Linked DNA regions of Xenopus tropicalis. The protein of the gene in region 1 binds, or shares a complex with, the protein of each later gene. Links are inferred from orthologs where the notes say so. Each region holds a gene or a part of one and is shown on either strand. Other genes may lie near its edges.

What was found. Proteins that work in one complex are often made in the same cells at the same time.
Region 2: eif3j (region 1) and eif3l share a complex: the UniProt entries of both Homo sapiens proteins name them as parts of the eukaryotic translation initiation factor 3 (eIF-3) complex. The link is inferred for Xenopus tropicalis from reciprocal best matches to the Homo sapiens genes EIF3J and EIF3L.

The regions. Positions count from the first base shown.
Region 1 is NC_030679.2:118,202,993-118,207,085, reverse strand, and holds the end of eif3j (eukaryotic translation initiation factor 3 subunit J), read left to right. Parts: intron 1-88; coding exon 89-250; intron 251-383; coding exon 384-457; intron 458-862; coding exon 863-997; 3' UTR 998-2,988; downstream 2,989-4,093. UniProt on the Homo sapiens protein: Component of the eukaryotic translation initiation factor 3 (eIF-3) complex, which is required for several steps in the initiation of protein synthesis.
Region 2 is NC_030680.2:122,088,493-122,092,923, reverse strand, and holds part of eif3l (eukaryotic translation initiation factor 3 subunit L), read right to left. Parts: intron 3,829-4,431; coding exon 3,759-3,828; intron 3,630-3,758; coding exon 3,556-3,629; intron 3,413-3,555; coding exon 3,241-3,412; intron 2,748-3,240; coding exon 2,593-2,747; intron 2,492-2,592; coding exon 2,321-2,491; intron 1,886-2,320; coding exon 1,752-1,885; intron 1,646-1,751; coding exon 1,472-1,645; intron 1,383-1,471; coding exon 1,193-1,382; intron 652-1,192; coding exon 571-651; intron 124-570; coding exon 85-123; 3' UTR 1-84. UniProt on the Homo sapiens protein: Component of the eukaryotic translation initiation factor 3 (eIF-3) complex, which is required for several steps in the initiation of protein synthesis.

The DNA.
Region 1 (4,093 bases):
CAGCTATGTTAGGGTGGCCTTTAGCACAGATATGGTCACAGTGAAGAGGGAAGGAAACCTTAAAAAAAAGTTTGTTTATTATCTGCAGGAGACAATGTTACCGTTACTGGAATAGATGCCATGAATCCGTCCTCAAGAGAAGACTTTACAGAATTTGGGAAGCTCCTCAAAGAAAAGATCACCCAGTATGAGAGATCGTTATTTTACCCAGGCTTCCTGGAGGTCCTTGTGCGGGAAGTGTGCGTCTCATGTAAGCCAGCCTCTCCTCCTTTCCAATTTCCATAAAGCTTTTTCATTCATGACTTATCACATGAACTTTGTTAGTCATTAATTTTGCCATATATTGCGGTGGCCTGAAGTATTTTTGTATTTTCCTGTTTTAGTGGAAGTGGATGACCTGAAGAAAATCAACAATTCTCTAACAGTGTTGTGCTTTGAGAAACAGAAGCAAGAGAAGGTGAGTTTATTTGGGTGGGAGGAGTATTAAAGAAATTATTTCAAGGTAATAGAAAAATGACAACCTATTAGAGGACTTGTTTCATGATGTTAGCATGAAGGTGTAACATGAGTGCCCCCTGCTGAGCGCTAAGAAGAATAGCAAATGTTTATTTTATATAGATAAGAAGCATCTCTTCATGCATCACCGCTCTATTGTTTTGCTCAATGTGACATTAGCAGGGTAGTGTTAAGCTTTATATGTTCTACCCCGCTCTTGCCATGCAGTGTAAAAGCTGCTAAAATCATGAATCATTGGTCATTGTTATAGGTAGGTTATATGCCCCCTGTAACCTGCTTCTGTGCAGGTAGAGATTTAGCATATTTTTTTGCCTGGATAAACTACAATTGTGTCTCTGAATTACAGCAACAAAGTAAAGCCAAAAAGAAAAAGAAGGGAGTTGTTCCGGGAGGAGGACTAAAAGCCAACATGAAGAATGATCTAGAAGATTATGGGGGCATGGATGAGGGCTATGGACGAGAGTATGACGATTTCATGTGACACGCTGGTTCTTTGTGGCCCTCATTAAGGAGTGCGCTCTCCTCCCTCAGGACTCTGCCAAATGCTACAGTCAAAGAAATCATCCCCCCTCAACGGGCCATATAAAAGAAAATGGCCATGGTGTGTGTATCTGGATTCTACTGGTTGATGCCCACATCGCACATTAAACAATTAACCTATGCAGCTCTATTCAGCATCCCCTTAACTCAAGGCTCGCAACCTTCTCCACTCTGCTTGTGGCATGCACGCTCAGCTCTGCCATGTTACAAACAGAGTCATGCCTCTGCTTTCTGCCTAGGAATATGGTCTCTCTCTCTCTGGGCAGGGCAGGTTATTAAATCTTTCTTTTTCTTCTGGCTCTTTACTTCCTGCCTCATTGACACTGCCCTCCCAGCCATCTTAGTTTTTTTTTTTTTTTTTTAATATATATTGGTTTCTTAGCTTTGTGCTAGAGGAATCTCCTGCTTTGAACTGTGATTCCTGATGGACTCAGCTTGGTGCTTTTCCATATTAAAACTTTAAACAATCTGAAATCACCTCTACAGTATGTGGAACTGTGAAGATGCAGAATGGTAAGGAGATACCGCTGGTGCATCAGACTATATGTGCTGCCTTCTGTTGGAGCTGCCAGTACCAAAACATGTGGGTCATCATGACTTTGTGGCCAACTGGCAGTTCTTGATGGCTCTGCCGGAGGGGAGGGCCATAGGGTCTTGATATTTATTTAGTGATTGCGTGTCAGTGTGGTTTCACGATTGGTTTATTGCTTTTTGACTCTTGCACCAAGGTTCAAGGTCTGGCCCTTTCTCTTAATCTTCTGCTCACCCACTGGATGGCGCTTTGCAAACAGGTCCTACTTTGGGAGAATTGTTATATTAACAATGAGACTGCAATGTTTGTTTTATAAGACAACTAATTTAATAAACTCATCCTTGTGACAAGATTGGCCAGTGTGCTCTCTCCTGCATAGGCAAGGTTGGCTTCTGAGTCTTTGGCAAAGTGTAGTGCACCAGGGAGCAGGGAGCTAGAGAGACCACCTCCAGTAAGTCATTATTAGTGGGTTTATTCTACCATGTATAATGCTGTTAAAGCGCAGATGGAATTAATAGCGTTGGGAAGACAAGCTGTATTTATGTACATATTAACAATGTTTGAAAAAAAAAAAAAAAAAAAATTATGCATATGTTATTTCTTTGCAGCTCTCCTTTGCTTTTGCCTTGATACCTTGTATTGATCTTTTTTTTTTCATCTTCCTTGTTGACAACTTTTATTTTTAGTTTCCTTCCCCCCCCCCCCCCCCGACTATGAACTGTTCTAGGCAAAGGACTGAGGGTCACAATATTTCCCATCTCTCATTTCCCTTATGCATTTGCCTAATGGAAATACTGAATATTTTTTTTCCTTGCTTTGGTTTCCGTAGCTTCTCTATCATGGGGGTTAGTCTGCTTGCGGTTTAAAGGTAAAGGCACAATTACTGTCTGTTCGGTCTTCCCTGTAGCCGCCTACAGCCAGTGGGGCTGCAATTATGTAAAAGGCCTGTTCAAGGGACATTATGCCAGAAACCACTTGTCTGTACAGCTAAAACCCACACCAGCATATTTAATTCTGTGTATTAAGGGAAATCTAACGGGTATATTATAGTCTCATGGCTGGATTAGATCTTTTTTACCATAAGTCGAAGTTACGTGTTCTTCACTTTCAAATGGGAGACCTTTGGTTACCTTTAAAAAGCTGGTAACTCCATGGCTGAGCGCACAATATACAGTCACTGCTGACAGAGAATCACATTACTTAAGGATTTTATTTTTCTTTGGGGGGGTGATGCATGATATGAGCAAACTAAGCCTTTATCCACACTACGCATTCTTACTAGAAATAACTGGGACAGGCACCATAAGTTCCATCTTCACTGTATTCCTTATTGGCACCAGCAGCTTCAAATAACAGCAACAAAGTGTGTGAAATGAAGTAAAATATATACATCCAACTTGTTTCAATGTTGTCTCCCTTTTTTTTTTGTTTTCTTGCTTGTTTCCCTTTGCTCTTATAACTCACATTTTTTTAAGGGAAAATATGAACCTATGTTCAACATAACCAAATCATGAAGCTTGTGTTTAAAAAAAGAAATCCATTTTTTTCCTTTTATTTAATAGCACTCCTGGATTATTGTTCTACTTATCAGGAGATTTTTTAAATAGAGACATTGAGCACTATGTAAACAACCCATTCCTTCCCCTAGGTACTGTTTGTGACTCCTGTTTAGAAGGAAGGGTTTATTATACAAATAAGTCAAAGTCCTTTGTTTAGAACCAAAGTTTCTCTGCCCACAGCCCAGTGTTAACCTGCAGACACAATAAGCAGAGAGAGAGCTGCTTCGTTGGATGGAGGTGGTGCAACCCTATAATGTGAACCATACACTGGCTTGACTCATACTGGCAACATTGTTACATGGCCTGCTAGAGATGGGCCGGTACCACAGGCTTGAGGCGCTACTGTTTAAAAAAGAAGGTTGTGGCCATTCTTGCCTAGTTATGCTGACTATTTTAGGAATATACCAGTATCATTTTAATTCTAAGTAACAATCCAGTGTATTGTGGGAAACTGATCATTGGCTGGAGGAGAGCAAACTATTGTAACGTTGTGCATATGGCCAGCACCAGCAATGCAGGGAAGAGCAAGGTACAGCCAGGCTTTGCTTTCATTAGCAATAATACTTAAGCACGACTTAAAATAGCAGCTATGGGCACTGTCAGACCGAGGACTGCATCAACTATCCAATGTTCCCTGATCTGATGGGAAAATCATATCTTGCCTCATAGAGATCTGGCCAATTTGATTCCAGATTTCTTTTGGGAAGGCCTGCCCGCAGTGACCAAATATGGGCAGAAAGGCTGCTGAATTGGTATGGCCACCTTTAGGCAAGAATATCACACTATGCTGTAGCCTTGCTTTCAATGGGACCAGGGGCCCCAGCCGTCTTTCACCAAATGTTACTCCCCATGTTAAGCTCTAAAAGAAAAGCCATTTACCAGTTGGCCATTACTTTTTCCAGGAGAGAGAACTCAATTTAGTGTTCAATGGTGCCTTTACTGCCAG
Region 2 (4,431 bases), on another chromosome or scaffold:
ATTAAAAGTTGTTGAAGTCCTTTTCTGTGTATGTTCCACAGATTTAAGGTTTGACAAACTGTATCTATAAATAGTTGAGTCATGTTAAGGTTTCTGGCTCATTTTCTTTAGGGTCTTGTTCAGCTGTGGATAAAAAGGAAAAGCATGTCAGTACCATATCAAAGGTTCTGGATGCCCTTTACTCTACACTGCTTTCACTCTTGAACACAGTCGCAGACATGACAATGGCCAAAAGCAGTTAAGATAATGCTGCATCTGCCAAGAACAACATTACATTGACATGGATTTAATCTGAAACATATAACTCCAAATTATCATCCAAGACTACGATCAATGTCACTATTGTCTTTCTGAATGTATGTATGCATAATACCCAGAATTCATAGAATACATAGTGCCCTGTTACGGTAACTAGCAAATAACTATAGATCATTACTACCCACTATAAACAAACCGAGACAAAGGTTTTATATGACAACAGTACAAGGATATGGACACATTGTTTCTTTATGGGACGCTAAAGTGAAACACAGCATAATTACTTCCCATGGAATACTGTAGTCCTCTTACCTCCTCAAACTTGTGAATCTGTCGTATGAAGAAGTCTCCATACCGCCTAGCAACTTTAGTATCTGCAATGTGTATCATATCCTGAATATAGAAGACAATATAGTTAAGAAGGCTGCAGAACAAAAGAGTGTGTGTATATCTATACATATTTTTTTCTCCAGATGCACACTCCACTTATATTCAATCCAATTTATTGCTTCATAAAATTACATCAACGTTTCGGCCCTGGTCTAGGGTGAGGACAGAAGTCGGAGGATGCTAAAGCAGCTGCAAGGATCCGCAGGTCCCTGGGGGGGGGGGGGTGATGGAGGATGCTGGGGGTGGAGTTGGAGGATGCTGGGGTGGGAAGCTGCAGGATGCTGGGGAGTGGAGCTGTGAGGCCCCGTGATTTCTGATGGCAGCCCTTGGCATAACGCTGGCCCGGCCTGGCTGTAAGTGAATGTGGCCCCTGAGCCAAAAAGTTTGCCCACCCCTGGTCTAGAAGGTAGGCAGTGGTGCACACACAAGGCTCTACCAGAACTGGTTAGATTAGAGCCTGGTTAGATGAAAACATGTTAGTCCTTGAATTCTTAATTAATGGCTTTAAAGGTCCTAGCTGGAAGGAGGAAAAGTTATCTGTCACCTTATCTATGTAGAAGTCTACTTCTGAGGCAGACTGGAATTCTCCTTCGAGGGCAGAAATACCACTGGTCCAAACCAAGTTCTTCATTTTGTGTTTGAAAACCAGTAACTGAATACGGAACTCTTGTTCTGGGAGATCCAAGAATCCAGCCAGTTTGGCTACAGGCATGGTTGTATAGAGTTTCAGAAAACTAAAACACAATAGAGAGTAATAGGCATACAATGAAATCTTAATGTAAGCCAACAGTGTCTCTTGTAAGGTGTAAAGAGGCAGACTTACCTTCTTATTGTGGAAAGCTGGGCTTGCTGCTGCACCTCATCAAGGAACACCTTAAGTTGCTGCAGGTAGGGCTCCTTGTGGTAGTTGGGATGAACGTTGTCATAATTGGGGACCACTGGGGACAGGAATTTGGGGCAAGCATAATTGAAAAGCTCCTCATAGATCTGGGCATCTCTGTAAAGGAAAAAAAAGTCGGTCAACCTATAGGTAGAAGCAGTTTAACCCATCCGCTCTATGAGCCTTTTTAGCAAGTTTTATCATGTTACTCTTCATTACTCACCCTTTCTGCATGCGAAGCATCTTATCCCCATATTTCTCTCTTAGCTGAGTGTGGATGCTCTCGTCAATTCTCATGGGGTACATGGTGAGGGCGATGGCTAGAAGACCATGCATCTGCTCATTCTGCTTGTTAATCTGCACCAACAGAAGATAAGTTAACTGGTATCTAGTGGGCAAAAAACTGAAAAGGGCAAGAAAAGTAAGACTTGATATGCAACCAGATGCATTCAGCTACGGGAAAGAGGATACTTTACTTTTTCATAATAACCCTAGCAAAGGGCAAACTACACTGGGGCAGGGGTTGAAGCATTTTTAAAAAAAAATGTTGTTGTATATAAAGGACACTAGTAATAATTTAAAGGGAAGTTCACCATAAAATAAATTCACATTTGTCTTTGGCCTTAGTTTAGTTGCCAATTTAAGGCAATATAGATACTGTGCCTCAAGAGTAACAAATATTTATATATATTTTTTGGTGTGCAGGGGAAAAAAAACAGATATGATCATTAAATTAGTTTTACAGGTGAGAAGAGACAGCCAGCATGTACATGAGCAATAAAAAGGACCTACCATCTCATACTTGTATGTGGTCCTTTGAAACATACTCTTCGTCCTCTGAATATACAGCAGAATGTTGGCAAACACACGGATGGCATCCTGATATCTCCTCATCATGAGGTAAGCAAAGCCTACATAGTAATATGTAGTGACCTGGCACTCAGGCACACGTGAATACATGCTCTGTCAAAGAAGGAATAAACAGAAAAGAACTGCAGGGTCACAAACCTACAGGAGGAAACTCCACTTAAAGGCTCAAATAGGAGTGTATTTGGGTATATTACCTTTTTGTTAAGCTCAATATTCTCCAGCACCTTGATGGCTTGGTAATAATCCCCTAGCAGGGAGTGGAGACGCAGGAGACCAACAAGGCTGAAGTAACCCAACATCTTGTAAAGAGAGTGTCGCCCATATTCCCCAGCCACACTTTCAGGGTCCCCTGCAAACAAAGAACTAATCAGAAACATACTTTGTGCAAATACCTTGAGTCTTTTTGTTTATCAATTACACAGAACCACTGACATGCATAATTGCTAAAAATCTCAGAAGCGAAGCTTTAATGGAATAGGTTTTAACCTTTCAAACAGGAATGGTGATTTCTGTAGTGGCTTAAACAGTTCTGGCAAGGGATTTAAAAAGATCACCAAACAGTTGGGTATCAATCAAAATGTAATCACGGCACTTACAGATAGCTTTTACCACTGCTGAAGTCAAAGCCATTGAAGTCTACCATTAGACACAGGCTGAATAAATTAGATCTACATGGGAGATGTACCAGGAGGAAAACTCAGCAGTCCAAAAAAGGGCTTAAAACTACAGTTTGCCCATTAACACCACTGTCTTGGTTAGCGTCTATACACTATATTTTAGGCCATCTAACAGGCCCCATAGGTTGCTTCATCCTTTGAACCAAACAGGGCCCCTTTTCTTACCTCCACTGGTATAGACCTCCAGCTGGCGGTTGATGTTGGACTTATCAACCAATGAGTGTAGAACATTTAGTACACTGTGGACATTCCAGATCTTGGGGTTGGAGCGCAGGAATTCAATCTCCTCCTCTGATTTTTTGGCTGTTTTACAACGATATTGACTGAATGACTGGAACTGAGAGAATGAATAAGAAAAAAAGAAAAAGGTGCTTAGAAAAAAAATCATATTTTAATACAGACTCTCTAGGTCACAGAACACAAGTACAGCATGGTCACCTGGATGTTCCAAATTAGACATACAAGGAGGAAAATACAGACCTGGTAAATAAATTCATCTATAATGTCCCACAGCCATTGGTTTGGAAGTTCTAAAGGAGCAGGTCCATCAGCATCTGTGATAGGAATACACAAATTTTACCCTGCTTCTCTGTTAAGTTCCACTCACAATCTTGCAGACTCCCTCCCACACAGTTTCCCAATAAGCAACAATCGCCGCACTGCATACATTCCTGTACACTTACTGAGTATGTAGTTGAAGAGGTTGCAGTAATTGTAATAGGATTCAAAACGCTGCTCCAGTGTTGGACCACCCTGAAGTAATAAATATGCTTATTATTATTAGTGTAGACAGTCAGAAAGAATGATGTGAAGGTCAAATAATAAACTGCAAGATATAAACTAAATATAACTAGAAGCACTTTAACATTTATAAGATACCTTAACAATCCATTCTCTTGCGAAGGGTTACGTTGGCAAACTAACTAAATTCATTCCTGCTTGTTCTACTGTAGATTTGCTTTTTATTTTTCAAAAATGAATGCCATTTTGTAGCTACAGGTTCACAGTTCTGTCTGCTGTATTGCCTATCTATCACAAAACATTCTAATAATCTAGATACTACTCAAACAGGGAACATTTTACAATTCTCAGTCAAGGGGAATTTTTCCAAACAGTTTTTTGCACAATAAAACAAAATGTAACTATAACTTTTAAGGATAAATTGATTAAAAATGTTCAGTGGTTTAAAAGATACAGTATTTTTAAACATAACCAACTGAACAGTATCTGTATCCCTTGTGTGTGTCTGGTTCTAAAGCTTAAAAAATTGCAGTTCTCCTTTAGGTCTTTGAAGCAGCTGTCTTCTGCTACATTGTTTGTGGAGTCCAGAAAACAGACTCTGTTTTAATAGCAAGT